7 linked regions of the Ovis aries genome follow. The protein of the gene in region 2 interacts with the protein of the main gene of each other region in a biochemical or structural test. Links are inferred from orthologs where the notes say so. Each region holds a gene or a part of one and is shown on either strand. Other genes may lie near its edges.

The links.
Region 1: the proteins of ERBB4 (region 2) and NRG2 form a complex in vitro, tested with the Homo sapiens proteins (2 studies listed by BioGRID). The link is inferred for Ovis aries from reciprocal best matches to the Homo sapiens genes ERBB4 and NRG2.
Region 3: the proteins of ERBB4 (region 2) and NRG1 form a complex in vitro, tested with the Homo sapiens proteins (2 studies listed by BioGRID and IntAct, with this or other methods). The link is inferred for Ovis aries from reciprocal best matches to the Homo sapiens genes ERBB4 and NRG1.
Region 4: the proteins of ERBB4 (region 2) and PTPN11 form a complex in vitro, tested with the Homo sapiens proteins (2 studies listed by BioGRID, with this or other methods). The link is inferred for Ovis aries from reciprocal best matches to the Homo sapiens genes ERBB4 and PTPN11.
Region 5: the proteins of ERBB4 (region 2) and PTPN6 form a complex in vitro, tested with the Homo sapiens proteins (2 studies listed by BioGRID, with this or other methods). The link is inferred for Ovis aries from reciprocal best matches to the Homo sapiens genes ERBB4 and PTPN6.
Region 6: the proteins of ERBB4 (region 2) and RASA1 form a complex in vitro, tested with the Homo sapiens proteins (2 studies listed by BioGRID and IntAct, with this or other methods). The link is inferred for Ovis aries from reciprocal best matches to the Homo sapiens genes ERBB4 and RASA1.
Region 7: the proteins of ERBB4 (region 2) and ABL1 form a complex in vitro, tested with the Homo sapiens proteins (2 studies listed by BioGRID and IntAct, with this or other methods). The link is inferred for Ovis aries from reciprocal best matches to the Homo sapiens genes ERBB4 and ABL1.

What each region holds. Positions count from the first base shown.
Region 1 is NC_056058.1:48,884,841-48,888,906, reverse strand, and holds the start of NRG2 (pro-neuregulin-2, membrane-bound isoform), read left to right. Parts: upstream 1-1,266; 5' UTR 1,267-1,395; coding exon 1,396-2,101; intron 2,102-4,066. UniProt on the Homo sapiens protein: Direct ligand for ERBB3 and ERBB4 tyrosine kinase receptors. Concomitantly recruits ERBB1 and ERBB2 coreceptors, resulting in ligand-stimulated tyrosine phosphorylation and activation of the ERBB receptors.
Region 2 is NC_056055.1:213,465,239-213,468,738, forward strand, and holds part of ERBB4 (receptor tyrosine-protein kinase erbB-4), read right to left. Parts: intron 714-3,500; coding exon 600-713; intron 511-599; coding exon 384-510; intron 1-383. UniProt on the Homo sapiens protein: Tyrosine-protein kinase that plays an essential role as cell surface receptor for neuregulins and EGF family members and regulates development of the heart, the central nervous system and the mammary gland, gene transcription, cell proliferation, differentiation, migration and apoptosis.
Region 3 is NC_056079.1:27,643,960-27,647,942, reverse strand, and holds the start of NRG1 (pro-neuregulin-1, membrane-bound isoform), read right to left. Parts: upstream 2,801-3,983; 5' UTR 2,713-2,800; coding exon of another isoform or gene 2,524-2,712; 5' UTR 2,195-2,523; coding exon 1,525-2,194; intron 1-1,524. Other genes in the region: uncharacterized LOC128092250 homolog, read right to left, coding at 2,524-2,712. UniProt on the Homo sapiens protein: Direct ligand for ERBB3 and ERBB4 tyrosine kinase receptors. Concomitantly recruits ERBB1 and ERBB2 coreceptors, resulting in ligand-stimulated tyrosine phosphorylation and activation of the ERBB receptors.
Region 4 is NC_056070.1:61,963,578-61,967,849, forward strand, and holds the start of PTPN11 (tyrosine-protein phosphatase non-receptor type 11), read right to left. Parts: upstream 2,801-4,272; 5' UTR 2,594-2,800; coding exon 2,580-2,593; intron 1-2,579. UniProt on the Homo sapiens protein: Acts downstream of various receptor and cytoplasmic protein tyrosine kinases to participate in the signal transduction from the cell surface to the nucleus. Positively regulates MAPK signal transduction pathway. Dephosphorylates GAB1, ARHGAP35 and EGFR.
Region 5 is NC_056056.1:209,354,266-209,357,765, forward strand, and holds part of PTPN6 (tyrosine-protein phosphatase non-receptor type 6), read right to left. Parts: intron 482-3,500; exon of another isoform or gene 314-481; coding exon of another isoform or gene 306-313; intron 222-305; coding exon 99-221; intron 1-98. UniProt on the Homo sapiens protein: Tyrosine phosphatase enzyme that plays important roles in controlling immune signaling pathways and fundamental physiological processes such as hematopoiesis.
Region 6 is NC_056058.1:84,552,087-84,556,100, forward strand, and holds the start of RASA1 (ras GTPase-activating protein 1), read left to right. Parts: upstream 1-1,214; 5' UTR 1,215-1,409; coding exon 1,410-1,951; intron 1,952-4,014. UniProt on the Homo sapiens protein: Inhibitory regulator of the Ras-cyclic AMP pathway. Stimulates the GTPase of normal but not oncogenic Ras p21; this stimulation may be further increased in the presence of NCK1.
Region 7 is NC_056056.1:5,788,136-5,791,635, forward strand, and holds part of ABL1 (tyrosine-protein kinase ABL1), read right to left. Parts: intron 1,126-3,500; coding exon 1-1,125. UniProt on the Homo sapiens protein: Non-receptor tyrosine-protein kinase that plays a role in many key processes linked to cell growth and survival such as cytoskeleton remodeling in response to extracellular stimuli, cell motility and adhesion, receptor endocytosis, autophagy, DNA damage response and apoptosis.

The sequences.
Region 1 (4,066 bases), on a different chromosome or scaffold from region 2:
ACTGAAGGTCTTATTGGGCAGGGTTGGCTGGCCAAGTATAAAATGGCTCCCTTAATAATTACATGGAATTTGCAGTTGAGTGGGAGAAATAATGATGTTGGCTTTGAGTATGTTAAGTTTGGGATGTCTCTTAGCCAGGAGGGAAAGCTCTAGCTCCCGCCTCCCTTTCCAGAATAGCATTCCCAGCTCAAGTCAGACGTCCTCCTCCGGCTGGTTTCCTGCAGTCCTCAGGCGAGGATAAGATTCTCTAAGACCTTACTGGAATTCCTGAGCTCCGTATCCTTCAAGGACATAAGCTGGGTATTAAAATCTCTCTGGATCCTTAATGATAGAGTGAGAAAGGATCCTTAACTTGCTTTTAAAAATCAGATGCTGGCTTCAGTGAAGCAAACTCCCCTGCCTCTTGCAAGCATCGATCTTTGAGAAAGAAACCATTTCCTGTGGGGTAGCTCTGGCCCTGACCGTCTCTGGCTCTCAGGTTGGCTCCCAAGAAGCCCCTACCTCCTTAGGGAGAGGCTTTAAGGGGGGAAAAAAGAAGGTGATGAGGTTGTGTAGCATGCAGCCTGGTTCTGCCTGGCTGCTGGAAAAAAGCCCAGAGACTTAGAGGCTGGACCCTCTCTTAACCACCACCCCTGGTTGGGTGGCCCCAACGCCTAGCCAAGACTCCATGTAGCCTCAACTCTTCACCCAAATGACGGGGCTGGGATCCTCCCCAGCTGACTCGAATCTCCAGCCACTCACCAGGAGGTGGAGGGCCAAGCCCGTGGGCTCAATTAGGGACTGGCCCCTAGGGTCCTGCCGGGGAAGGGAATATACAACCCAGGAGGCAGGTCAGTCACCCTGGCCGTGGCATCTCCCTGGCTCCCACAGCCGATGTCCAAAGGCAGAGCACACCCTGTGTCCCACTCTCCCTTCATAGGACGGTACCAGAATCTGCTACCTTTACCCTGCCCTCTGCTCACGCACTACCCCCACTATCGTGCGGATAAATCCCCAAAGCACAGCGTAGCACGATTCCTCTCGCTTCCCTGCGGGGCCTGAAGCTAGGCACTAAAGCAGTGCAGTCCCAAGCTTCCCCTGCAGAAGCCGCGCTCCCCACTCGGTTCGGGGGTAGAGGGGGCGCGAGAGAGCAAGTGGGAGGACGTCCCATCCTCCGCATCCTCCTCCCGGTCCCGGCGCGCAGGGTGGGAGCGCTGCGCCGCTCCGCGCTGCGCATCTCGGCCCGCTCGCTGCCTGCCCCCCTGCCCTCGCTGGGCCACCTCCCCGGGCCGCCGGTGGAGGGTTACTGGGCGCTAACGTTACGCTGTTTCCGGTTTTCCAGCGGGCTCTGGTTTCCCCTCCCAAGGCGGCGGCGGCGGCGGCGGAGCGGCGGAGCCCCCCAAATGGCCTGGCCAGATGCGGCAGGTTTGCTGCTTAGCGCTGCCGCCGCCGCCGCCAGTGGAGAAGGCTCGGTGCAGCAGCTACAGCGACAGCAGCAGCAGCGAGAGGAGCAGCAGCAGCAGCGGCAGCGGCAGCAGCGGCGAGAGCGGCAGGAGCAGCAGCAGCCACATCAACAGCAGCAGCATCTCTCGTCCCGCTGCGCCCCCAAAGCCGCGGCCGCCGCAACAGCCGCAGCCCCGCAGCCCCGCAGCCCGGAGAGCCGCCGCCCGCTCGCGAGCCGCAGCCGCCGGAGGCATGAGGCGCGACCCGGCCCCCGGCTTCTCTATGCTGCTCTTCGGTGTGTCGCTCGCCTGCTACTCGCCTAGCTTCAAGTCGGTGCAGGACCAGGCGTACAAGGCGCCCGTGGTGGTGGAGGGCAAGGTACAGGGGCTGGCCCCGGCCGGAGGCGGCTCCAGCTCCAACAGCACCCGCGAGCCGCCCGCCTCGGGTCGGGTGGCGCTGGTGAAGGTGCTGGACAAGTGGCCGCTCCGGAGCGGGGGACTGCAGCGCGAGCAGGTGATCAGCGTGGGCTCCTGTGCGCCGCTCGAAAGGAACCAGCGCTACATCTTTTTCCTGGAGCCCACGGAGCAGCCCTTGGTCTTTAAGACAGCCTTTGCCCCTCTCAACACCAACGGCAAAAACCTCAAGAAAGAGGTGGGCAAGATCCTGTGCACTGACTGCGGTGAGTTGCCCCCTCTCTCTGCTGGAGAAAGGGGGGAGGGGCGAGGTGGTGGAAGATGGGGGTGGGGCGGGAGGTATCTGCAGGTGCCCGGGCCTGGCAGAGCCCGGGGCCGCTGGTGAGGGCTGGGGGTGGGGGGTGGCGGGAGAACGGGTGGTGGGGCTGTCCCTGGGCAGGGCGCTTGGCATGGTGGGTGAGGGGGTTGGTGTTGGGGAGAAAGAAGATTAGGCTCGAAGTGTGCCAGGGCTGGGGGGCGGGGGGACGCGCTGGCCTGTGCCAGCAGGGATCTGCGGCTGATGTATGGCATGTGGGGCTGGAAAGCTGCCATCATAGCCCAGTAGCGGCAGGAAAAAAGGAGAGGTCCGCGTGTTGCTGGCCCGAAGCTCAGTGAGTCAGGAGTGACCCTCGGAGGCCTTGCCCGCTCTGCTCCCAAGGGCCTGCCTTGCCCAGGCTGGCAGGGTCTGCAGGAGCAGCTGGGCAGACTCCCAGGCTGTGAAGGCCTCCGCTTACAAGTTCTCCTAGGGAATGATGGCCCCCGCCCCCTCCTTCCTCTCCTGGGCTTCGGGCTCAGCTCATCCACACCGCTGGCGCAGGCAGAGTTGGACTTTTTCTGCTACTGTTTTCTGTCCCCCATGTGGTTCAGGGTTTTGTTTTGTTTTGTTTTGTTTTCCTCCATCGTGATTGCTTGTCTTTGCTGAGCTGGTTGCACAGCCCTCTCTTAACCTCCAGTACTAGTGAGCAGACACCTCTTTTGGCTGTTTCTGGGAGATCTTCCTAGGTCTGTTGCTTGTGATGACGGGTGAAATAGAGTAACTTCTCCTGAATGCTGTGAAGTTCAGCTCTGACATCTTACGGCGCAGGATGTGTTGACTGCATATCTCATCTTCATGATGTTGGGTGCTACACAGGAATGCAGGTGATGAGAAACACAACACTGAAGTCTGTCCATCTGTGCAGCTGGGAATGGAGTCTCCCATGTGAAAAGTCAAAGAAATGTCAGTTTAAGATCTTTTCCTCCTTGTCCCTGAATCCAGTAATTACTTCTCAGGAAGCTATTTCAAACCAAATCGTGGCTGGACTGGAGTGTTTGGTGTTAGCCTGTCTTGTGCTTATTCATATTGGGGTTTCATTTCGTCCCAACTAAGGCTGAATTTGATGTTTGCAGTGTGCGTCTGAGCTGTGCAGTCACTGAACTGTGATAGATACCCTGGTCTGTCATAGAAGTTGGTATATTTACTAGTCTGCCAACTGCTTCTGAGTAGTGTAAATAAGACTCTGAGTAGCAAAGAATGTGTAACAGCTCGGAGGAAGTTTTGCTGCCCTCATCTTTCTAGATCAATGCCTTTGACTTTTGGAAGCTTCCTTTCTACTGCATGTCCCCCGCCCCCTCCCTGCCCCTGTCCTTCAGAAGACAAATTTTAGTTTGTGGTGGGAATATATCTAGATATTATGTTAAACTGTGATCACTTTAATCAGAAGAATCTTGCAGTGTCTTAATAAGGAAGAAAGAAACTTTTGGTGATGACAGCAGTTTATCTCTCTGACATTGTTCTGAGGAATATTGTTGACTGCTCTTTAATGTTGGTTTTTGTGCTCTGAAACATTTTATGATAAGTTGAGACCAGTTAAGAATTTCTAATTTTTTATTCTGCTAAGTGATTTTTTTTTCCCTGAGATTCCTTGGGGGAGCTGTGGAACTGTATTATGCAGCGAGAAATAGATAGTAAAAACATTTATTGAACCTTGTCCAAGGACAGCTTCTGTTTTGCTTTTCAGTGAGTTGCTCCTGAGTGTGCATTGTGTACATCCCCACCTAATCCCCAGTCTGATGCACCAAGCCCCAGTGGTCATCATCCCCTGTCTTGCTCCTCTGTTCCCCCTTCTTCCTTCAGTTATACCTTGTTTATTTTAGTGAGTGTTTAATAGCTAAATAGTTGAATATGGAGATCATGAAAGACCTAGGGGTCA
Region 2 (3,500 bases):
TTATGTCATCTTGAACTAATTGGGTTAGGAATTTGAATGAAATTTCCCACTTTATCCACTGATAGTGTTTCCCTAAATGTATCTACAAATGTGTCAAACTCACTAAAATCTATGAATTTGAGGAGAATATCCTATAAATACATCTTAGCTTATATATAAATCATTATTTTCAAATACAGGTAGTCAACAAATTTATAATCTGGATTATTCTTGCAAAATTTGGTTTACAATTACCACTGGTGAAATCTGACATTGATTTTGCTGGGAAAAACCATTAATATATAATGGAACTCTGTGTCAAAATGAATCAGACTGATAAAACTAAAGAATCTCTTAAACTCTGTATTTTACAATAACATTTTCAATAAAAATGTAATACTGACCCATGAATACCAGTGACAAGGAAGATCAAATTCCCATTGATTTTGGTACAGTTTATGAATTTGTCAATATTACTAGAATCCACGGTCTGAGCTGACATCAATGATCCTGTGCCAATGCCATCACAAGCTGTAGAAACAAGATCAGGGAGTTGAGAAAAATTTCCTTTAGTCAATAAAATGCATTTTTATCATAGAATGACAGTACAAAATCACTACCTTTTGGGCAAATGTCAGTGCAAGGTTTACACATTTTAATCCCATTTTCTTCTACTTCCATCTTGGAACTAGGACAAGCACGCACACAGGAACTGGAATCAACTACAAAGTTATCTGATTAAAAAAAAAAAAAAAGAAAAAGGTAAATTTACCAATAATGTTGATGTTCAGCAATAGAATTTGAAACAAGATATTTTAGGGTTTGAACATTATTACCCTTTGAAAATGATAGTGTGTATGTTTCTTTCCCTACAACAACTCCTTATCTAAACATATCAACCTGAAATAGCAATCAACCTGAAATAGCATCTATGAGTGTCTGCATTCAAATCCAAGGGCAGCGTGTGTTAACAACATTTGGTACTTGCTTGGCTACTGCTCCACATCCTGAATTGCCCCCCAGAACTAGTGAATTTCTTTTATAGTCTTAGGAAACTGCATGACATTTAGTTTGTTTGTCAACAGTTCCGCTTCATTTCATGCCATGATACAAGTTTGAAATCTAAAAATACTTCAAGTTACATGAAGCACAAATGAAGCTGAAGTTAAACTGCCTTGGATGAAGGGAGTGTACTTTATATCACAGGAGGAAATGTTTAAAATATGTTCATCTTTCAATGGAGAGCTGTAGAAATTGTCCCATAGCTTCATATAAAGAAAAAAAGATGAAATTTGGAAGGGCAGTACTTTAGGAAAGTGAAAGTATTAGTTGCTCAGTCATGTCCGGCTTTTTTGCGACCCCATAATTTTAGGAACGGAGAAGGCAATGGCACCCCACTCCAGTACTCTTGCCTGGAAAATTCCATGGACGGAGGAGCCTGGAAAGCTGCGGTCCATGGGGTCGCTGAGGGTCAGACACAACTGAGCGACTTCACTTTCCCTTTTCACTTTCATGCATTGGAGAAGGAAATGGCAACCCACTCCAGTGTTCTTGCCTGGAGAATCCCAGGGACGGGGAAGCCTGGTGGGTTGCCGTCTATGGGGTCGCACAGAGTCGGACATGACTGAAGCAACTTAGCAGCAGCAGCAGCAGCAGCAGATTTTAGGAATGGTTACTAAATAAACCATGAACGTCTAATTATTTGCCATGATAGAATGTTTAGAATTCCGGTGGGATATGCCAAACATTCCCTTCCAAAAATAAGGACAAATTATTGCATCCATTTCTACAATAAAGGGAAAACACAATACCTGCCAGGCTACTTTTGGGTTTTGAAGGCAGCATTCTTCCATGTTTGGAAATACTGATTCTGGCAGTATTCGGTAGCCTAGAAGGCTTCTGATCTTGAAGGGATCCAGAGCAGGAAAGGCAAATAGTGCAAGTCTAGGCTGGACTGCAAGCAATCCTGTTATTTGGATCATAAAACCCGTACATACTTCTATAATATTAGAATATTATACAATATTCTAATATACTTATTCTATAATATTAGAAGTATGTATGGTGGGAAAATATGCCATGTGGAGTTATGGCAAGTTTCAACTGGAAAATCACATCAGAGACCTCTAGGAATTATACCCCATTTAATAAATAACTCCTGACATGCTTCTGGGCTGTGGTAGAGACGGATTACCTAACCATGGGTAATTGATTGATCATGTAGTCCGAATTGCCCATCACAAACAAAGTTTTGTTAAAAACCATGACATCATAATTTTGAGAAGGGCCAACGGAAATCCATTGTAAGACGGAAGCAGTGAATTTGGAATTGATATGAGCTGGGGCACTCACACAGTAAACTGCATAAGCAAGTGTTCCAAACCCCTACATTATCCACTGATCACTGTGCTGGCACCTTTTACTAAGTTCATATCTATGGCTACATGGGGAACCAAGAGAGGGCAATTATTACAAGAGGTCAGAGGGGTACAAAAACTAATCTTGGGATGTAGGTGCAGGCAACTGAAAATGCATGGTACCTGCCTTGCAGCCTCAGTCAGGAGTGAACTGGAAAGAGTGGCAAGTAAAAATTCTACCAATGGGCATAGTTCTGGGTAGTACAAAGGAGCCTTTACTTTGTATGGAATAAATATGAGTTTAGAGTAAATATGACCTCAAATGGTAAAGAACCTGACTGCAATGCAAGAGACCCACGTCTGATTCCTGGGTCCGGAAGTCCCCAGAAGAAAGGAATAGCTATTATTCTTGCCTGGAGAATTCCATGGACAGAGGAGCCAGGTGGGCTACAGTCCATGGGGTTGCAAGAGTCAGAAACAACTGAGCAACTAACACAACAGCAACAGCATGAGCAGTGTCTTGTTCTGAGAGAAGAAATGCTAGAAGATCTGGAACTGGAATTGAAAGCAGTCTGGGGTAGAGGGATATATTTGAATCCATGGGAGTGGGTATAAAGTGTGATGATCTTTGTATTCTAAGCTAATATCCACTAGAGAGCATCTGTCACAGAAGAGACACCTTGCTAAGACTGTATCACAGTCTGAGCTCACTTCTTTTCCTTCTCTCACGGGTCCTGATCCCAAGAACATTTGTTAACAACCAAAATCTCTGTAGCATGGGAACCCAAACTGTAACAGATGTAACCATCCTTTCTGCAAGGTCTTTAGGAATACCTCTTATTTAAAAAATCTACATTTTTTGTAGCAGCTTATGTCAAGTGAAATAAATAAAAAAGATTCTAAGTATCTTCATAAAAAGTTCAAGTTTTATAGTCAAATAAGTTTCAAAAAATATGTATTGTTTAGGTTTTGAATTTCAAAATTCTGGATTAGGAATTGTAGACCAGTATTTAGAAGCTAAACATCTTGGTTTCCCAAGATAGCTACAGTTTAGCATAGTCAAGGTCCCTCAAAGATTTGAATTTTACATAGATAAATAATGAAGTGCTTTAAATTAGCGTGTAATTGGATAGACCTAAACTAATCCATAAAAGAAAATTTGAG
Region 3 (3,983 bases), on a different chromosome or scaffold from region 2:
AGCAAGCCTCTTTTGTTTTTCTCTTTAAATCTTTGCCACTGAAACTGGTGTGTATGAAATGAGCCTGAATCACAAGCACAAATCAAGTTTTTCTGCATTTCTAGAACATATGGCTCTCCCGCATACTGAACGACATGTCTGCAAAAGATATTTTTAATCTTCATTACCATCCAGAGGGAAACAGTAGGGGTATTACATCACAGAATCTTTACCCTCACCTCTCCTTTAGAGACTTTACTTACACACGGTATTCAAACAGAATTCTCTGATCCTTTACTTTTTTCTAAGGAAACAGTTTCAATGGTGAACAGAAGACAGTGAAACGAAAGTAAATTAGAAACTTTTTTAAAAGCTATAGAAAATGCCTCTCTTCTATAATGACATTTAAAACAATCTGACTAGTCATGGTTTCATCCTTGTCAACTTTTCCATTATAAAGCATGGCAATGACCAGTACAGACAGCAATAGGACTCCTCTGTATTGTTTTAAGAGCACGGGCTCTCTTCACTCACAGATTATTAAACAGGACTGCTGCAGTCTTACGGACAAAAAAGACACATCTGAAAAAAAAAGATTTACTAATGCGTCTTGTACTTTCTAATGACTGTCAAGGAAGCTATTTAAATATTTGATTCCAGAAGGCAAAACCACTTTGGACAAAGTATAATAGGAAAGAATATATGTGTGTGTGTGTGTGTGTGTGTGTATGTGTGTGTGTGTGTGTGTGTGTGTATACCAGAGTCACTTTGCTGTACAGAAGAAATTAAGACAACATTGTAAAATCAACTATACTTGAATAAAATTAAAAAAAAAAACAACAACCTAGTTTGGGGAAAATCTTTTCATGTGGAATTGTACCAGATCCTGAATAAAACTGCCCCTAACAAGTGCTCAGCAACTCAAACTATAATCTGAGCATGACAGCAACCTGCTGGTAAGAGGTGAGTGCTGTAAACATCTAAGACTTCATGTGATATTGGGAAGAAGCAATTAAAGTACAAACGTGGGGAGAAGTGGTTTAGGGAACAGGAAGAAGAGATGGAGAAAGATAACTCGCAACTTGGGCTGGCTGGAAGGCAAAGGATAGCAGAAAGGTGAGGAGAGGTAATGGAAAGTTTACATGGGGAAAAAAAAAACACATCAGGATCCTACTCACTGCTGTACAGAAGTCATATATATATAAAATGGTCTGATGTTTTCATCCTAAAAAGTGTTAGAAACCTATGGAATGGAACTGAAAGTCAAGCATGGCTCAGAGATGCTGAAGCTCTGGGTCCTCACCCCAGATTTCACCATCCAGGAAGAGAGAGTTGCTGTGATAGCATCAGTTCTAACCAGCAGTTTGTAAGGTCTTTTCACTCATCTCTGCCGGAGCAACCCAGTCACGTGATGCGCTTAAACCAAACCGTGCCATTCAACTCCGAGAAGACAAGGACCTCAGCTCTACCCTCTAGAGAACACTTCGGACGACCTCAAGCCCACCCATCTCCTCTACACATCCTCACCCGTCTCTCTCTACTTACAAAGTTTAGGAGCAGTTTGGAGATTAGTTTCTGTTGATGGTGGCTGAGTGGCTGCCTTGGGTGTTCTCACGTCAGGGCTCCGAGTGGGTGAAGGGAGGGATGGAGCAGTGGACGGCCGGAAAGAAAAAGCGAAGATACGGTTCTTGGGGGTGGGGACCGCCGAAGGCTCGGAGGACCCAAGGGCATTGTCAACTTGCACTGTAACTCGAACCTCAGTTTCAGACTGAGCCCTGGAGACAGGTGAAGTGTACGCCTTGGCTGATACCCACACAGCAGCTGAAGCTGCAGTTGGATCCAGAGAAATAATAGGATCCTGGCCTAATCCCCCAGGGTCAAGGTGAGTGGGAGAGTCATACTCAAAAATCTTGTCCACAAACACCCACTTGAGGCCCGCGATGCAGAGGCAGAGGCTGACCAGGCAAGCCAGGATGGGGACGATGCAGATTTTCTCTGAGTTGAGGCAACCTCTCAGGCGCTCGGTTTCCAGGCAGACGCAGCAGGGAAGAGTCAGGCCCACGAGCCCCGGGGACCTCCCATCTTCAGTCTGGGTCTCCGGCATGTCTTCGGCTGCCGGAAGTCCGTCCAGAGATGGGTCTGCACTCAGCTGAGTGGAAGGGCTCGAGGACCTCTCAGCAGCTCCCTCGGACATGTCTGGGGAATAAATCTCCATCGGCTCACCTCCAGGAGGCCTGGCCTCTCACACTGTCCATTACCATGCAGAACCCCCCCCAACCAAATGATACAGCATCTTACAGGGAGAAATCGATAAGTCGTCCAAGTCCAAGGCCATTATCAAAAGCAAGAGGAGTTCAGGAGGAAGGCAGGGGAGGCCAAAAAAAAATCAACAACAACAACCAAATAAAAGTATATTGTAATTCTTGACTGCTGTTTCTGGGCCACTTTTGCAGTTCTTTTATATGCTTCTCCAAACCATCCTGGCTGGGTCAGGAAGACCGGAGGCCAGCGGAGAAACCCAGGAGCTGATGCGGCGGCGGTCGGTTAAGTAAACCAGTAGCCCAAACTGAAAGGCATGTTTCTCACCTCGAGCAGCTGCAGCTGGGGTCTGCTCAGATGGAGAAAGCAACTGTCATGCAGAAGAAGTAAAAGCAGGAGCAGGACCAGCGGCGGCGGCGGCGGCGGCAGCAGCGGCGGCGGCAGGAGCGGCAGCAGCGACAGTAGCAACAGCATCCTGTGGTGTGAGCGCGGCGGCTGAAAGGGGCTGAATCATCACAGAGCAGCAGGTGCCTGCCCTCCGAGCATCACGGCGAAGCGTCTCTTCGCAGAGCGCGCTGGAGGCGAGAGCGCGGCCGGGAGGGGCGGTCGCCGCGCTCGCCGCCCTGCCTTCTCCCCCACCCGCGCAGCCACTCCTCTTTGTCCTTCCCGAGGCTCATTCACTTTCTTCCTCTGCGGCTCCTGCCTTCTCCACAGTCTCTTCCCCTTGCCTTCCCCCTCTTCATCCAGAGACTCTCTCTCTCCCCTCTTTCTTTCTTTTTTACCTCCCTCCTCTCCCAACCCCCACCCCTCTATCCGCACTCTGGGGCTGCTGGCTGGTCTGAGTAGAATCAGGATACCCAGCAAGGCGGGACTGCCAGTGACTTCCTATTTTATCCAATTAGAAGGAATAAAGGCCATCAAATCAAAGAGAAGCAGGCAGACAGCAGTTAAGCTGAGTCCCCATGGCCCCCACCCGGCTAGCCTCCTTTCTCTCTCTCTCTTTCTCTCTTTTTTCCTCCCTACCACAGCTGCCCTAATCTTCCACCCCCACCTCCCATGCTCTAAAGTCTCCCTGGTTCTCTCTTCTGCATCCACTGTTGGGTCAGAAAAAGCCAGCGATCAATGCTAGCAATCTAACAAAGCTAGGATGAGGCGGGGGGTGGATGTAGGTGGGACCTTATGGGTTGGACCTGAGGCTTGGCAAAGTCTGATATCTGATTCCTCCCTAGAGAGGTAAGCTTTTCAACAGCAATTTCTTCCTGCCTGCTGCAGAGAGATAGCATTCCATCCCCAGCCCTCTAATAAGTTTTGTTCACCGAGAGGACTGTTATTGCCTGGTGTTTCAACCAACAGCAAGAACATTGTTTTTCTTTTTTTTCCTCCTAACCATGGACAGCTCTGCCTTCAGCCCTGTTGCAATGACTGGGTAAGACTTGGTGATGCCCAAGTGTGAAGTGTGGAATATACATTGGAGAAGGGGGTGCTCAGGGAGGGGAGAGAGGTCTTTATGTGCCCACACGGGTCCCCTTTAAATTTTCATCCTTCTGTCCCACTCACAGCAGTCCCGGACTGATGTCCAGCCAACAAGAAACACCAGTAACAGCTATAGAGAAGGCTCCCGCTTCATCTTGAAAATAGCCTTCACTGTGACTCCACACTGCGGAGGTTGAATTCCCTGAGCGCTGTAATGTATACCACATGTCCTCAGCTATAACTGCACTGCAAGGATTAAGAAGACTTTTCTA
Region 4 (4,272 bases), on a different chromosome or scaffold from region 2:
TAGGCTACAGTCCATGGGGTCGCAAAGAGTTGGACACGACTGAGCGACTTCACCTGACTTCAAACTCTGAAACCACCCAAATGTCTACCAACAACTGGATGGAAAAATGAAGGGTGGTACAGGCATACAGTGGAATATCACTGATCAATAAAAAGGAACTATTTACCATACACAACAACATAGATGAACCTCAATATAATTCTGCTGAGCATAAGAAGCCACACACAAAAGTCCACTTGTATAAAATCCTAGGAAATGCAAACTAACATATAGTGACAGAAAGCAGAAGAGTGTCTGCCTGGCAACAAGGAAGGGATTATAAAGGGTTCCGGGAGCCATCACAGGAGTGACGGATATATTCATTATCTTGATTGTATTGCTGGTTTCTTGAGTGTATAAGTGTGGAAACTTATCAAATTGTATGCTTAAATATATGGAATTTGTGGCATGTCACTTATACCTCAATAAAGCTGGTTTAAAAATAATAAAAGACCTATGATCTGAAAACTAATAATAAATAATCCCCAACTGTGTGCACTGTTGTTGTTGTTATTTAGTTGCTAAATCATCTCTGACTCTTTTGCAACTCCATGGACTGCAGACAGCCAGGCGCCTCTGTCCATAGGATTTCCCAGGCAAGAATACTGGACAGGGTTGCCATTTCCTTCTCCAAGGAATCTTCTCCACCCAGGGATCCAATCTGAGTCTTCTGCATTGGCAGGTGAATTCTTAACCACTGAGCCACCTGGGAAGTCGTGCATTACAATCATTTGTGTGTGTGTGTGTGTGTGCATTACAATCATAATCTGACTTCTTAGGGGGCACATATTTCTCTTCCAAAACAAGTATGGGAGAGCCGGAAGAGGAGAGGAGGAATTACTTCATTTCAAACTGTCATCTTTACCACTTGCTGCTTTGGCTCTTCTCACACTTCCTGGCTTCTAAATTAACAAGCTGGACAATGTAGGGTCTATTACTACCCAGCCCCTACCCCACCCCCAGTCCCCAGACTTTTTGTCTCCTAAAAGAAGCAGATCCTTACTTGTCTGGAAAAGCAGACACAAGGAACAAAAGGCTCAATGACTATTTGACAGATTAAAGAATAGAAAACTGTTTTATTTAAACGCTCTCTAAAGAATTAGAACATCTGAGGCTATACGCTGTTCTGCTGAAATGCAATTATATATTACCCAGATCTGTAAGCACTTGCCAGAAGACCTGTCCAAATCACTCACTGCTTGAGTTTTCAGTTTTCTCCTTTCACTCTTTTCATCCCATCAATGAATAATGTGCAGGTGTATTTCTGAGAAGACATTCCTAATGTTTTGAAGTTTCTCAGTCAATAACCCCAACAGCTTGAAACAGTTTTCCAAATGTCTAAGACAGTGTGAATTCTATACAGAATGACAATACAATAGCAGGATCATTATCTGAAAACAATCAATCATACTAATATTTAACAACAAAATTAAGGCTTACAAATGATTGGCAATAGTTATAATAGCAATTAACAGTGGGGTTCTGTCTCCACCACTTACTGATTGAGTGACCTTAGGCAAGAGTCGGACACGACTGAGCGACCAACACTAGCACTAGAACTACTAGGCAAGTTGCTTAACTTCTGAAATTCATTTACTCTCTTTAGAGCGGGATAACAGTACCTACCTGATAGGGTTATAAGGATTAAATGTGTTTGGCATACGGTAAGAGCTAAATAAATGTTAGCAATTAGTAGTATAGTCTACTATACTACTTTCCAAGGATCTCATTAACTCACTCATCTTCCTTCTGACTTCTAGGTTCAAACCCTGTCATTTACCAGTATGTTTCTTCTGAGCCTCAGTTTCCACATCCGTAAAACGGAGGTAATTAATGTTACCTGACTTTTAAGGTTGTGGTGAAGGATTAAAATAACTAGAGATACGATCCCTTCCCTCCCACCTCCCAAAGCGAAGATCGCAGAGGAAGGAAATACTTCTAATAGCTGCAGATATAGTCAGTTTTTCCATTTCTGGCACGTGAGGGGTGGGGGGGGGGGGGAGAAGAAGATGCAAAGAGGCATACAAAGTGGTCAAGGACCCTGAGTAAAGCCCCCAAATGCGCGCAAAACGCAGAGTGACCCAAAAAGGCTCGACTATCGGCCTGGCCTCGCGCAACTCTCTCCTCTCCCCTCCCGCGTCCCGGGCCGAGGAGCCTCCCCTAAGTGAGCGGGGTTATTTCGGAATCACCATGAGGCAATTCTCATGAGGCAATGGGTCAGGAATGCGGCGCGCCGAGCCGAGCCGCTAGCGTCCGCGGTTCCCCGGGCGGCTCTACCTGTCCCCGTCCTGACGGGCATCCCCAGGGCTGCGGGAGCCGGAACTCCGTGGAGGCAGGAAATGAATGAGGACCCGAGGGGTTGGGGGCGCGCTAGGGCCGGGCCCCGGGGCCCTGGAGGGCTTAGGGGGCTGGAACGGAGCCTGCCCCGCGACCCCGGGCAGGAGTCCGAAGCCCAGCCGAGCCGCCCCCTCCCGGGCGGAGCTGACTGAAAGCGGCGGGGGCCGGGCCGAGGCCCGGGCTAGGCCCTCGGGGCTCCTCACCTCCGCGATGTCATGTTCCTCCCGCCCTCCGGCTCCGCGACGAACCGGCTCCTTACTCAGGCTCCACTGGGCCCGGTCACATCGGGCTGGCCCGAGGGAGGCCCGCTCCGGACCGGACGTGGGGGGGGCGGGCAGAGCCAGCCGGCCGCGCGCAGACCCCCCTCAAGGCCTGAGGAGCCCGGAGACTGTGCAGCCGCCCCCCAAGCCCGGTTCGCTCCTCCTCCTCCTCCTCCTCCTCCCCCGCCCTTCCCCGCCGGCTCCTCCGTGACGTCACTCCCACGCGACGCCCGCCGCTACTTCCTGCTTCCATTCTGCGCTGAGGCTGGTCATGGCAGTTCAGTGGATCTGTGGAGCCTCTGCCGCGCTGTTCCCAAAGGACCTTCTCATTCTCCTTTAGATCCTGGCGTTAAACCGTGCGTTGTGTGCTCAAAGTTACACGCAGTCGCGTGAATTGATTCTAGCTGCTCCCACAGCGTCAATTTCCATCCCTGCGCTGTGAAGTCGAATTTCATTCATTTCATTCCTCAAATAGTTGTTCCACTTACTGCTGTGTAACCTTAGGAAAGAGGTTGGGATCGCAAAGAGTCGGACACGACTGAGCGACTGAACTGAACCTTAGGAAAGTTGATTTCTCTGAGCCTCCATCCTTGATTTCTGTAAAAAGAATAGTAATTGTATTTTCTTCTTAGGATTATGAGGACGATTAAATATGTAAAATGTTTAGAACTAGGCCTGGTCTGTTTAATAAGTTCTCGGTAAAAAATCCGCCTGCAGTGCAGGAGACCCTGGTTCGATACTTGGGTCGGGAAGATCCCCTGAAGAAGGGAAAGGCTACCCACTCCAGTATTCTGGCCAGGAGAATGCCAAGAATTGTATAGTCCATGGGGTTGCAAAGAGTCGGACACGACTGAGCGACTTTTACTCACTCTCTCCTGTAGTTATTGGGGCTTCCCTGGTGGCTCAGATGGTAAAGAATCTGCCTGCAATGCAGGAAATCCCAGTTCAATCCCTAGGTCGGGAGTATCCCTTGGAGAAGGGAATAGCTACCCAATCCAGTATTCTTGCCAGTAGAATTCCATAGAGAAGCCTGTGATGCTATCGTCCATGGAGTCACAAAGAGTTGGACACAACTGAGCAACTAACACTTTGACTTTTTCACTTTTTTTGTGTGTCATTATTAGCTCTATTATCATTAGAAGGAAACGTGAGCGTTTTCTGTCTGCTAGGCACTGATTTTCCACTATAGAGATAAAAGTGAACTGAAAAGACAAAAATCCCCGATATTCTCATGGGAGGAGCTACAGTAATCGATAATAAATAAAACAATTGAGATAATACCCCCAATACTCATCTCCCTTCTTTTCTCCATTGCCCTTTATATTACTTTAAATGGGGGTATTTAGGGAAAGCTTCACTAAGGATGATATTTGAGTCAAGGAGCAGTCTAGTAGTGAAGTTGCTCAGTTGTGTCTGACTCTTTGCCACCCATGGACTGTAGCCTACCAGGCTCCTCCACCCATGGAATTTTCCAGGCAAGAGTACTGGAGTGGGTTGCCGTTTCCTTCTCCAGGGGATCTTTCCGACCAAGGGATCAAACCCAGGTCTCCCACATTACAGGCAGACACTTTACCATCTGAGCCACCAGGGAAGCCCTGAGCAGTCAGTGGAAATTTAGAAAAAGAGCATTTCAAGT
Region 5 (3,500 bases), on a different chromosome or scaffold from region 2:
GGCCAGGGTTGGGGTGGATACACCCAGGGGCCTGGGGAAGCGAAACGAGCAGCCAAGGGCTGGCACCCCACCCCCGGCTGGAGCCGTGGGCCACCTACCTGACGGAGAGGGAGAAGTCACCCTGGTTCTTGCGGCTGGGCCGTGCCAGGAAGCTTCCGTGGACTCCTCGGCCCTTGAGCAGGGTCTCCGCATCCAGCCCACTGAGGTCTCGGTGAAACCACCTGGGGGCCGGGAGGGTGGTGAGGAGAGGCCTCAGGGCCCTGGGGCACCCTGCCTCCTGCCTACCATGGGTGCCCGGCCCTTACCTCACCATCCTGGGGTGCCCGGGGCGGGGAGGGGGGTGAAGGCGTGAGGCAACGGCGTGGTGCCGCTGAGTCTGGGCAGGCGGGGGACGCTGGGGCTAAGCTCTGGCAGCTATCAGCACCCAGGCCACCTCGCCACCCAGCGCGGTCCTGTCCTGCTTCTGGGCTGCCACTCCACTGGCCTGGGGCAGCCGGCAGGGCGGGGACAGGAAGGGGCGCGGCCGACCCCTTGGGGGAACTCACTCACTTCTCGTTTTAGGGCAGAGCAGGGAGAAGCTCGGGGTGGCGGTGGGGGTGGGGACAGGACCCACTTCCCACACGCCCGCCATTGAAGGCCTGGGGAGGGTGGACCTCCACACACGACCACCCAAATGAGAACACACGTGAGCCTCCAGCGCCCCAGGCCAGCTCATGCTTGGTCCATGGGAACCCACACAGTCACGCGCCATCTCTTCCTGCTCCATGCAGCCTTCCCTGGTCCAAACCAATAATAATGCTGAGGGTGGCAACTATCATTAGCGGTGTCTGCCTAGACAACAGGCACAGTGCTGGGCAGTATTTACCTGCCTTATCTGATATGTCCTCAAGGTAGCCCTGTGAAGCAGGTACCTTCATTATTCTCATTTTCCAGACAAAGAACCTGAGGCTCTGGGCGTGAAGGCAGCTTGCCCCAGGGCCACACGGTCAGTAAATGGCAAACCAGAGTGCAAACCGGATGGCCTGGCTCCAAAGCTAGTGATTTTAGCTACTATATGCCAGGCCTCAGGGCTTCAGAGAACAGAATAAAAAGTTAAATAAAAAGTTAAGGGACTTCCCTAGTGGTTCAGTGGTTAAGAATCTGCCTTGCAATGCAGGCAGGCCTCACAGGTTCAATCACTGGGCAGAGAGCTAAGATCCTACATGCTGTGGAGCAATTGAGCCGTGCCACAACTAAATCTGTGTACCACAATGGAAGATCCTGTGTACTGCAACTAAAACTGGACACAGCCAAATAAGTAAATTTCAAAAAAGAAGAGAAAAAGTTAAAAAGGTTGGGGAGGGGGGCACTTCCCTAGGGGTCCAGTGGCTAAGACTCTGCTCCCAAAGCAGGGGGCCCAGGTTGGGTCTCTGGTCAGGGAACTAGATCCCACATGCTGCAGCTAACACTAGGTGCAGCCAAATAAATAAATAACTTTTTAAAAAAACGAACAGAGGTTGAGAGACTCTTCCAATCAGGCCAAAGTGGGGGGAGGGCAGTTTCCTAACTGTTTAGGCTGGGCAGATGCCTCTTAGAGGCATAGAAACCCTCCCTCGACACACACATCTGAATAGGTGCCCTGGGACAGAGGGCTGGATAAAATGACCCTGGAGCAGCCCTGTCCAACTGGCACCTTCCCTGCTTCTTGTCCTCGGCCTTTGGGCCATCCACCGTGCCCCAACCCTGCAGTCAGGTGAGAAGCGGAATGCGAAGCAGGTGGGGCCAGAGCCGCCAGCCCTATGGATGGATCCACCGGAGTCTGAACTGTAGGTTCTTGCTGAGGGGGTCTGGTCTGAATCCGACGGAGCTCAGGACTCTGCCCAGGGGCTTGTCTCCTGGGCTGCAGCGGGGCACCCAGACCTGGCCATGGCCTATTCTCAGGGCCTGTTCACCTGCAGAGGCCCTAAACACTAAAAGCTTGTGATACTCCGTCTAATTCCAAAAAAACATACCGCCAAACGAAAGCAAGAGGAAAGAAGCCCAATGCAAGATACACAAGAGGGGACTTCCCTGGGAGTACAGTGGTTAGGACTACAGAGTGCAAGGGTTTGATCCCTGCTCAGGGAACTAAGATTCCACAAGCCCTGAGACACAGCCAAAATTTAAAAAAAAAAAAAGATACACAAGAAATCCTGTGAGTAGATTCCCTAGGGAAGGGACCAGAGCGGGTAGCTGGAGGAAGGGGCTGGGAGGGACCTTTCCATCTCTCTCCTTCCACCTTTTTTTAAAAAATATTTTTGTATTTATTACTTATTTAATTGGCTACACCAAGTCTTAGTTGTGACATGCAGGATCTTTGAGCTTCATTGCAGCCTGCAGGGTCTTTAGTTGCTGCATGTGGGGTCTACTTCCCTGAGCAGGCATCTCTCCCAGGCCCCCTGCCTTGGGGGCCTCTTAGCCACTGGACCACCAGGGAAGTCCTTCCAGTCCACCTTTTTGAAGACTGTAGCATGAGCATGTAGCCCCTTCATTAAAATAAGTATACTGACTGGGAGATGGCAATTTCTGGGATAGCAGATCTGAGTGGTGTGTACACAGATGAAGTAAATGTGATGTTCAGTATTCAAGCATATTATGTATGCTATGCCTCAAAAAAGAAGGAAAAATAAGAATCAACTCAAGCCCAATGAAAGTCTATTTTCTTATGTTGGCTACTTTATCATTTTTTGAATATCAATTCTCCGCCCTCCCCACCTCCAAAAAGGGCTTCTGGAGACCCTGCTTGATCTATTTATCTCATGGTCTAACACTGACTACCTCTATCTTAGACAGTAGTAGCCTTGAAAGACTATGAACTCTCTCTCGCAGCAGGGGGCAGGAAGAGAATGGACACCGTCACCTCTACTACCGGGGGCCCTCACCTCCAGCACAGGAGGTCCACAGCTGGTATGGCTCACCTCCAAGTGGTTAAAACTTAGCACCATGTCTCACAGAGAGCATGTGTCAAATGACCACATTCATCCAGACCCATGCACATACATGGTCACAAGCCCAGGTCCAGTCCTACCCATGCACATCCTACTTGTCACATACCGATGAGTATACACGCGTGCGCGCACGCGCATGCACAAGCATCCACTTACGCACACACAGTCCCACTAAAGGCAACCTCATCATCCAAGTCCATCTACACACGTATATAGTCAGGTGCAAACACCCACACATAGACACATCATCCCAACCACCCACAAAGTTGCAGGTCCCTACATAGCACCCAACACCCCCTGTACTGTGGCCACAAGCCACTGTCCCTCTGGAATTTTAAAAAAGAAACTAACTAGGCACTCAGAAACTCCTGACCATCAAAGAGACAGGAATTTCTCTGAAGGGTGTCAAGTCAGAAGGTAGACAGACACTAGGATGATACACACAGTCTCTACTTGGCAGGAAAATAAATAAGAAGCACCACCCTTCCCTGGGCATAAGTGCTCTGGAGTTCACAGAGCACTTGCACGTGCACA
Region 6 (4,014 bases), on a different chromosome or scaffold from region 2:
TGCCATCCAGCCATCTCATCCTCTGTCGTCTCCTTCTCCTCTTGCCCCCAATCCCTCCCAGCATCAGGGTCTTTTCCAATGAGTGAACTCTTCGCATGAGTCTTAGAATCTATTAAAAAAATTTTCATTTTATTTTTTTTAGCTTGAAATAGTCATATAGTCATTTATATAATGAAAAGAGAACGGAAACACTAACAGGACTCTCTCGGACCTCCAGGCAGGTACCCCTCCAACTGCCACCCCCGCGGGCCTCGGCCGTCGGGTTTCTGCGCCGCCGGCCACGGCGTCCGCTCTACCGGTCGGGAAGCGAGGAACTGGCTTTGCCTCATCTCCCCTTCTCTTTCCCTCCCTCTTCAAGAAACCCTCCTCGTCGCTCACAGGTTTTTACCCCGCTGAGCGGCCGCGTGCCGGGGACCCACTCCTCCCCTCCGCCGCCTAACCCGTCTCTCAGACAAAGCCCAGTCAGGCAGGCGCGCGCCACCGGCCACACCGACCGGCGAGGCGGCCGCGCCGCCACGCGCTTCCCCACTGGCTCGGGACTGCTAGCTTGGCCGCGCCTCCACGCGCTCCCCTCGGCTCGGGACAGCGAGCGCTGCCGCACACCGCGCGTCCCCGCCGCTTCCTTCCCTCCAGAGTCTTCCTTTCCCTCCTCCAGACCCAGCACGCCACACCCCCACCCCAACCCACCGCCTCCGCGCGGGGAGTGCGCCTGCGCAGAAGCTGCCCTCTCGCCCCTCCTTCCCCGCCCTTCCTTCCCTCCGCCCCTCCTCCCGCGCCCCGCCTTCCTTTCTCTCGTCGATGTCACTTAGCGCTCCAGGTTGGGAGCCTTTAGGTTGATTTCCCCGCTACCCCGCCCCCCTTCCTCTTTTTCTCCCCACCCCTCCCGCCTCAGCCCGGTGGAGGATGAGGCGGCCGCAGTGGCCCCAGCCCCTGCAGCGGCACCGGCGGTGGTTGCGGTGGGGGTGGCCGGAACTGGGGTGGTGAAGAAGCGGTGGCGGCGGCGGCGGCTGAGGGAGCAGCAGCCGCCTCAAGCCGCTTTCCCCCCCGCCTCGCTTCCCTTCCTCTTTAGTGCAGCCAGGAAGTTTTTCGCTTCTGTGCATGTGTGTGTGTGTGTGAGTGTGCGCGCGCGCGCGAGTGTGGGTGTGGAAGGTGAAGGTTTGGGCGGCGTTTGTGCAGGCGTTGGGGTTTTTTGCCCACTTCTCTTCCCGTAACCCGGGGAGCTCCCGAACCTGGGCTGTGGCCCGGAGAGGGGGCGCGGCGGCAGCGGGCTCTCTCCTTTTGTTGTTGTTTCCTCCGCCCGGGGAGCTGAAGAGGGGACGCGCCTGGGTGGGGCGGCTCGGAGCCCGGGCCTGGTGGCCCCTGGGGGCTCCCGGGCGGGCAGGGTAGGGCCGCGTAAAGCGGGCTTCAACATGATGGCGGCCGAGGCCGGCGGTGAGGAGGGCGGCCCGGTCACCGCCGGGGCAGCGGGAGGCGGCGCGGCCGCGGCCTCGGGTGCCTACCCGGCGGTGTGTCGGGTGAAGATCCCCGCGGCCCTGCCCGTGGCCGCCGCCGCCCCCTTTCCTGGGCTGGCGGAGGCCGGCGTGGCCGCGACTCTGGGTGGCGGAGCCGCTCTGGGGTCAGGCTTCCTGGGACCTGGGTCTGTGGCGGGGGCCCCGGGGGGAGCCGGACTGTCAGCCGGAGGCGCTGCCGCCGGCGTGGCTGGTGTCGCCGCCGCCGCCGCCGCCGCCGCCGCCGGACCCGGCGGGGAGATGGCTGAAGCCAAAGGGACCACTTCGTTGCCCACTGAGACCTTCGGGGCCGGCGGCGGATTCCCTCCTCTGCCGCCGCCTCCTCCTCAGTTGCCCCCTTTGGGCGCTGGCCTGGGAACAGTGGACGAAGGTGACTCTCTGGATGGACCAGAATACGAGGAGGAAGAGGTGGCCATCCCGCTGACCGCTCCTCCGACTAACCAGTAAGTCAAGACCGGCGTTTTGGGGGAAGCTGACTCCTTGGAAAGAAATAGGAAAAACAGGTCTAGTTCTTTTCAGCTGTGACTCGTAGTGCTTTCAGCTGTGACTCGTGTTTTCAGCTGTGACTCGTTCAGAAAAAGTTCTGAAGCTCAAGGTTCCGTGCGTACGGATTTAATTTGATCACTCATCCTCCCTACAGGCACACTCCCTGGCGTCTTGGTATATTTATTGCTCCTCTGGGAAGATGTAAAGTTTTCAAGATGGGAAGCATGGGAAAATGTGTATCCAGGGAGAACCGGATATGGTTCTGTCCCTTGCAGATTGAGGTGGCGTCCTGGGATTCAGCTGAGTTTGCAGCTACCGAGGCAGTCGTAGTCTGTATTAACCTGGTTGCATTCCCTGTTGAAGCTAGACAATTAGTGAGAAGCTTTGAATATTTGAGTGAATATCGTGGTAGTATTGTTTGAAACGTGCCTTGGTCGGATTGCTTTGTTTTTGTTGCCCTGCAATTCCCGGCTTCTGGCTGTTGAAAGCACTGCGATGCAGAAAAGACTTTGGATTGCTTTTGAGAACGTGGGTCAGCGAGAAAGGAAAGTTCTGTTAATTACTGGTGTGGTTAAGGGCCTGTACTCCCACAGTATTTAACATGTGCAGTAGAATTCCCGTTTACTAATATGCTAGTATAATTCTTCTGTAAGTTGAAACTTTGTAAGTACAGTATTGAACTAGAATTAATATTGTGCTTCCCTTCACCTTTTGTTGGTGGCAAATACAGTATTCTATTTGAAAATTAATTTTGACAGTCTTCTGCAGAATATACAGGACAAATGACTTACATATATATATAGTACTTTCTCCCTTGTTCTCTTCATAAGTGAACTTAGGTTTGGATCTTGAGAGGAACATGTTGATGGGCAGTAGGCAAAACTTGTTTTATAGATCCCTCATATCTGTCTTAATTGTCCTTTAGAATTTTGACAACCTTGGTGAGGTATCAGAGGAAGAAAGATTTGATTCCTGTGTTGACCATCACTCTAGACAGTTGAAGGTGTTTTTTGTGTCTGTTTTTTTTTTTTCTTTTCTTTTTTTGGATAAGCTTCTTTAGAAAATTTAGAAAGGACTTAACAAATTAGGGCATTTTTGACTTAAGGCTACATACATCTTTTGATGGAAAAGTAAAGTTAATCTTATGTCAGCCATGGGACAGGGGAGTTTTATTCTTTTTATATTGTTCATCATGAGTTCAATTTTTTGTCTAATTTAATTTCTGCTTATCATTTCTTATCTACATATTGCAGACTTCTCTGAAGGTGTTCTGAAAGTATTAAAAATTCAAAATTTACAGCTCTGTTTACACATCTTCAAGCCTTTTTCAAAACTACTTAAGTATTAAGGGCCCTGTGGTTATGATAAAGTTCAGCTTTTCATAATGAAAGAATATAGTCTTATGTTAGTTCTTAACTAAATTGAATAAGGCATATTTAGTGTGTTGCAGTTCTAAATTTTTTTAAAAATAGAATTTATTTGTTAGAGCAGTTTTAGGTTCACCGTAGAAGTGAACAGAAAACACAGTGTTCCAATTAAATTTTTAATAAATATAAATGAGAACCTAAGAAAAATTATTCTTGTGAGAAATCCATTGTAAGATTTTCATCATTTGTGTTTGGGAATAAAAATATTATTTGTGTAACTCTGTATATGAGAATTGTTCATGTTCTAAAAAGTATCCTCCATTTCACTATAGTTTTTAAAAGTTGCCAACGAGAAGTACAAATTTCCCTCTCTTCTTTATCTTAGATATCAACCCAGACTTACTGGAGGCAATACAGTGTAGGGGTTAAGGTGCAAAATCTGAAGTTAGACAAGATTTGGGTTGGAATCCTGACTCTGCTACTTACTAGCTGTATGATCTTGCAAAGGTCAGGTTCCCCATCTGTAAAATGGGGTAATAATGCTATCGCCCTCATATGATACTTTTTAAGGTTAATGAGAAATCCCTGAATGTATTCAGCACAGTAACTCATACGTAGTAAGTGTTCAGTAAATTGGCTCAAATAGTACATAA
Region 7 (3,500 bases), on a different chromosome or scaffold from region 2:
CGGGTTTCGCCTTCCCCCCAGCGCCTGCCTCCCCGGCTGCTTCCTGGCTTGGGCTCTGCGAGGGCTTCCCGGCTTTGCCAGCGGAGGTGGGTGGCGGGGGCGGTGGGGCGGGTTTGAGCTTGGACAGCTTCCCCTTGTCTCTCCCCGGGGACTCGGAGGCGGGCTTGTGCCTCCTACCCCGGGGCTCCTCTGCAGCAGTGGCGGCGGCCTTGCTGGGCCCTCCGGAAGCTCCTGGCCCGGCCCGGCTGGTGGGGGGTGCCGGCTCGGCGGGTGTCCCCGCGGCACTGGGCCTGCCGGCATCCTCCTTGTGGGGAGGGCTGGAGGGAGGCGCAGCCGCACCCTGCCTCCGGAGCGGTTTTGGCGTCAGGCTGGGCGGGCTGGAGCCCGGGCTGGCCTCAGCCGCGTCCTTGAAGACCTCGTCGGCGGCCTCCTCGGTTTTCTTTACCAGCCGGGGTGGCGGGGTGACCGTGCCTCTGGTCATCTGGTCAGACCTGTTCTCGCTTGCCCGTTTCCGAGGCAGGGCCGGCTTCTCGCTTTTGTGGCCTCCGAAGGTGGACGAGTCGAACTGCCTGCTGGTGGACTGCAGGTCCCGAGGTAGGGTGACTGACCGCCACTCTGTGTCCTTGGCGCCATGGGGCACGCAGGAGGCTGAGCAGGACCTCAGGAAGCGCTTGCTGGCACCACCACCGCTCTCCTCTTCACCGGCAGCCAGCCGGCTGCTGGTCAGTGTGCTGGACTTTTTCCACAGGTGGGGCGACCGGAAGCCCGCGCCCCCAGACTCCCGGAAGGCTCCATTGGGGACCCCGGCCCCGCTGCTGGGCTTCGGCATCTTGGCCGACTCCGCTGTGTCCAGGGGTGCCGGCGCCAGTGCCCCGTTACTGATTTCCCGGCCTTCCTCCTCACTGGCCGCTTTCCGCTCGGGCGGGCCATCCATCTCCCGGAAGGAGCTGCTGCGTTTGGGAGGGGTCGGGGCAGTTTTCTTCTTCTTCTTGATCAAGGCGCTGAACAGGTTGGTTTTCTTGTCTTTGGGAAGCAGGCGTTCATCCTCGTTGAGGCCGCCATCTGGAGGACCCCGCTCTTTTCGAGGGAGCAGTGGAGATACAGCGGGCTCATGGTCCACAGGATCTGAAACACACAGGGAAGAGCTGAACGAGTCCAGGCCAGAAGCGAAGAGCCTGGCCTCGCACGGGCCGGCGGCCTCTCCTCACAGAAAGGCCCTGCATCTGGGCTCTGCCAGGCCTGCGTGTGTGGTTGGGCTGCCCGACCCTGGCGAGTGACTTCTCTCTGCTCACCCTCGGCCTCCTCATCGATGAAACGGAGCACATTAGAGCTACCTGGAGTGCTGCAGTGAGAATAGAAGGGATGTGGGCATTTATCACAGCTCCTGGCACGGAATCCTCAGTAGCTGTTGGCACTGCATGTTGGTGTTGTCATTACTGGGCAGAGCTAAGCTCTCTCTCCTTGAAGACAGCAGAACAAAAAGCTGTGGCACCCGCGCCCACTGCCCCACCCCTGTTAAAGCAGAAAAGGCCCCTGCACACCACCATCTGGAGGGTACAAGGCAGACGAGGCCAAGCACAGGGTCAGGAGCTGGGCCTCTCCCACCAGGCGGCTGCTTGCGGCTCCCGCAAGGCTGGGCAGGAGGGAGAGGGGCCGCGTGCCACAGAGTGCAGTGACAACAGGCTATTATGCTCGGGGAACTAGAAGGGTGACCTTTTAAAACTTTTAAATGGGCATCCTTTAAATATGAATAACAGTGTCTAAGAAATCTTTCTGGCGTTGCCAAGCTCCCCGCGAGTGAGTGACAGAGCTCTCCCTCCGAGGGCGGGAGCAGCGCGGTGGCCATCAGCACCTGGGACACTGAGGGACGGGGCATCTGTCAGAACAGCAGGCTGCACACAGGACTCCCAGATCCGGGCAAGTCAAGGCCCTCCCCAAACCTCAGCCCCGTCGGAGGAAGGCGAAGAGAGTGAATTTCTAATGAATTATGCACAGCTCTGTTTCAGGGGCTGAACAGCTAATTGACACTCTTGGCACGCCATGAGATTACATATCAGAATACCCCTCAGATGAATACTGATGGGGGGTAAATGAACATGATGGCTTATCACTGGCCTTTTAATAAGCCGAAAGTTCTCAGAGTGGCCCCTCCTCCCCACCGCTGTCCCACTTCCTGACATCAGGACGACTAACAGAAGGATGGAGGGGCCAGGTTCTAGATAGTTTACATGCTGTCGAAGCAGGGCAAGCAAGACGGTCCAGGGAGTGTGCAAAGAAAGCAGGATAATTTATCTCTTATGTAAACCTTTTAAGTGTATATTTTTGCTCTATTTCACAGTAAATGTATTTGTGCAGCAGTACATATACAATACCTATGTACAGGAGCTACACATTCAACTTTTAAAATATGGGTACATGATGAAAGAATAGCAAGGAGAGATAAGAAATCTGAAAAATTCCAGATATTCAAGCTGGATTTAGAAAAGGCAGAGGAATCAGAGATCAAATTGCCAACATCTGCTGGATCACGGAAAAAGCGAGAGAGTTCCAGAAAAACACCTACTGCTGCTTCAGTGACTACGCTAAAGCCTTTGACTGTGAATCACAACAAACTGTGGAAAATTCTAAGTGATCAATGTGAAGAAATAAGAGGAAAACAATAGAATGAGAAAGATTAGAGATCTCTTCAAGAAAATTAGAGATACCAAGGGAACATTTCATGCAAAGATGGGCTCAGTAAAGGACAGAAATAGTATGGACCTAAAAGAAGTAGAAGATATTACAAAGAGGTGGCAGGATTACACAGAACTATACAAAAAAGATCTTAATAACCCAGATGACCACGGTGGTGTGATCACTCACCTGAGCCAGACATCCTGGAGGGAGAAGTTAAGCGGGCCTTAGGAGCATCACTGTGAGCAAAGCTAGTGGAGATGGTGGAATTCCAGTTGAGTTACTTCAAATCCTAAGAGATGGTGTAAACGCCATATGCCAGTAAATTGGGAAAACTCAGCAGTGGCCACAGGAATGGAAAAGGTCAGTTTTCATTCCAAACCAAAAGAAAGTCAATGTCAAAGAATGTTCAAACTACTACACAACTGCACTCATTTCACACGCTAGCAAAGTAACGCTCAAAATTCTCCAAGCTAGGCTTCAACGGTACATGAACCGAAAACTTCCAGATGTTCAAGCTGGATTTAGAAAAGGCAGAGGAATCAAACTATCAACATCTGCTGGATCATGGAAAAAGCAAGAAAATTCCAGAAAAACATCTACCACTGCTTCATTGACTATGCTAAAGCCTTTGACTGTGTGAATCACAACAAACTATGGAAGAGCTGGGATATACCAGAACACCTTACTTGCCTCCTGAGAAACCTGTATGCAGGTCAAGACGCAACAGTTAGAACCAGACATGCAACAACAAACTGGGTCCAAATTGGGAAGGGAGTATGTTAAGGCTGTATATTGCTACCCTGCTTATTTAACTTATATGCAGA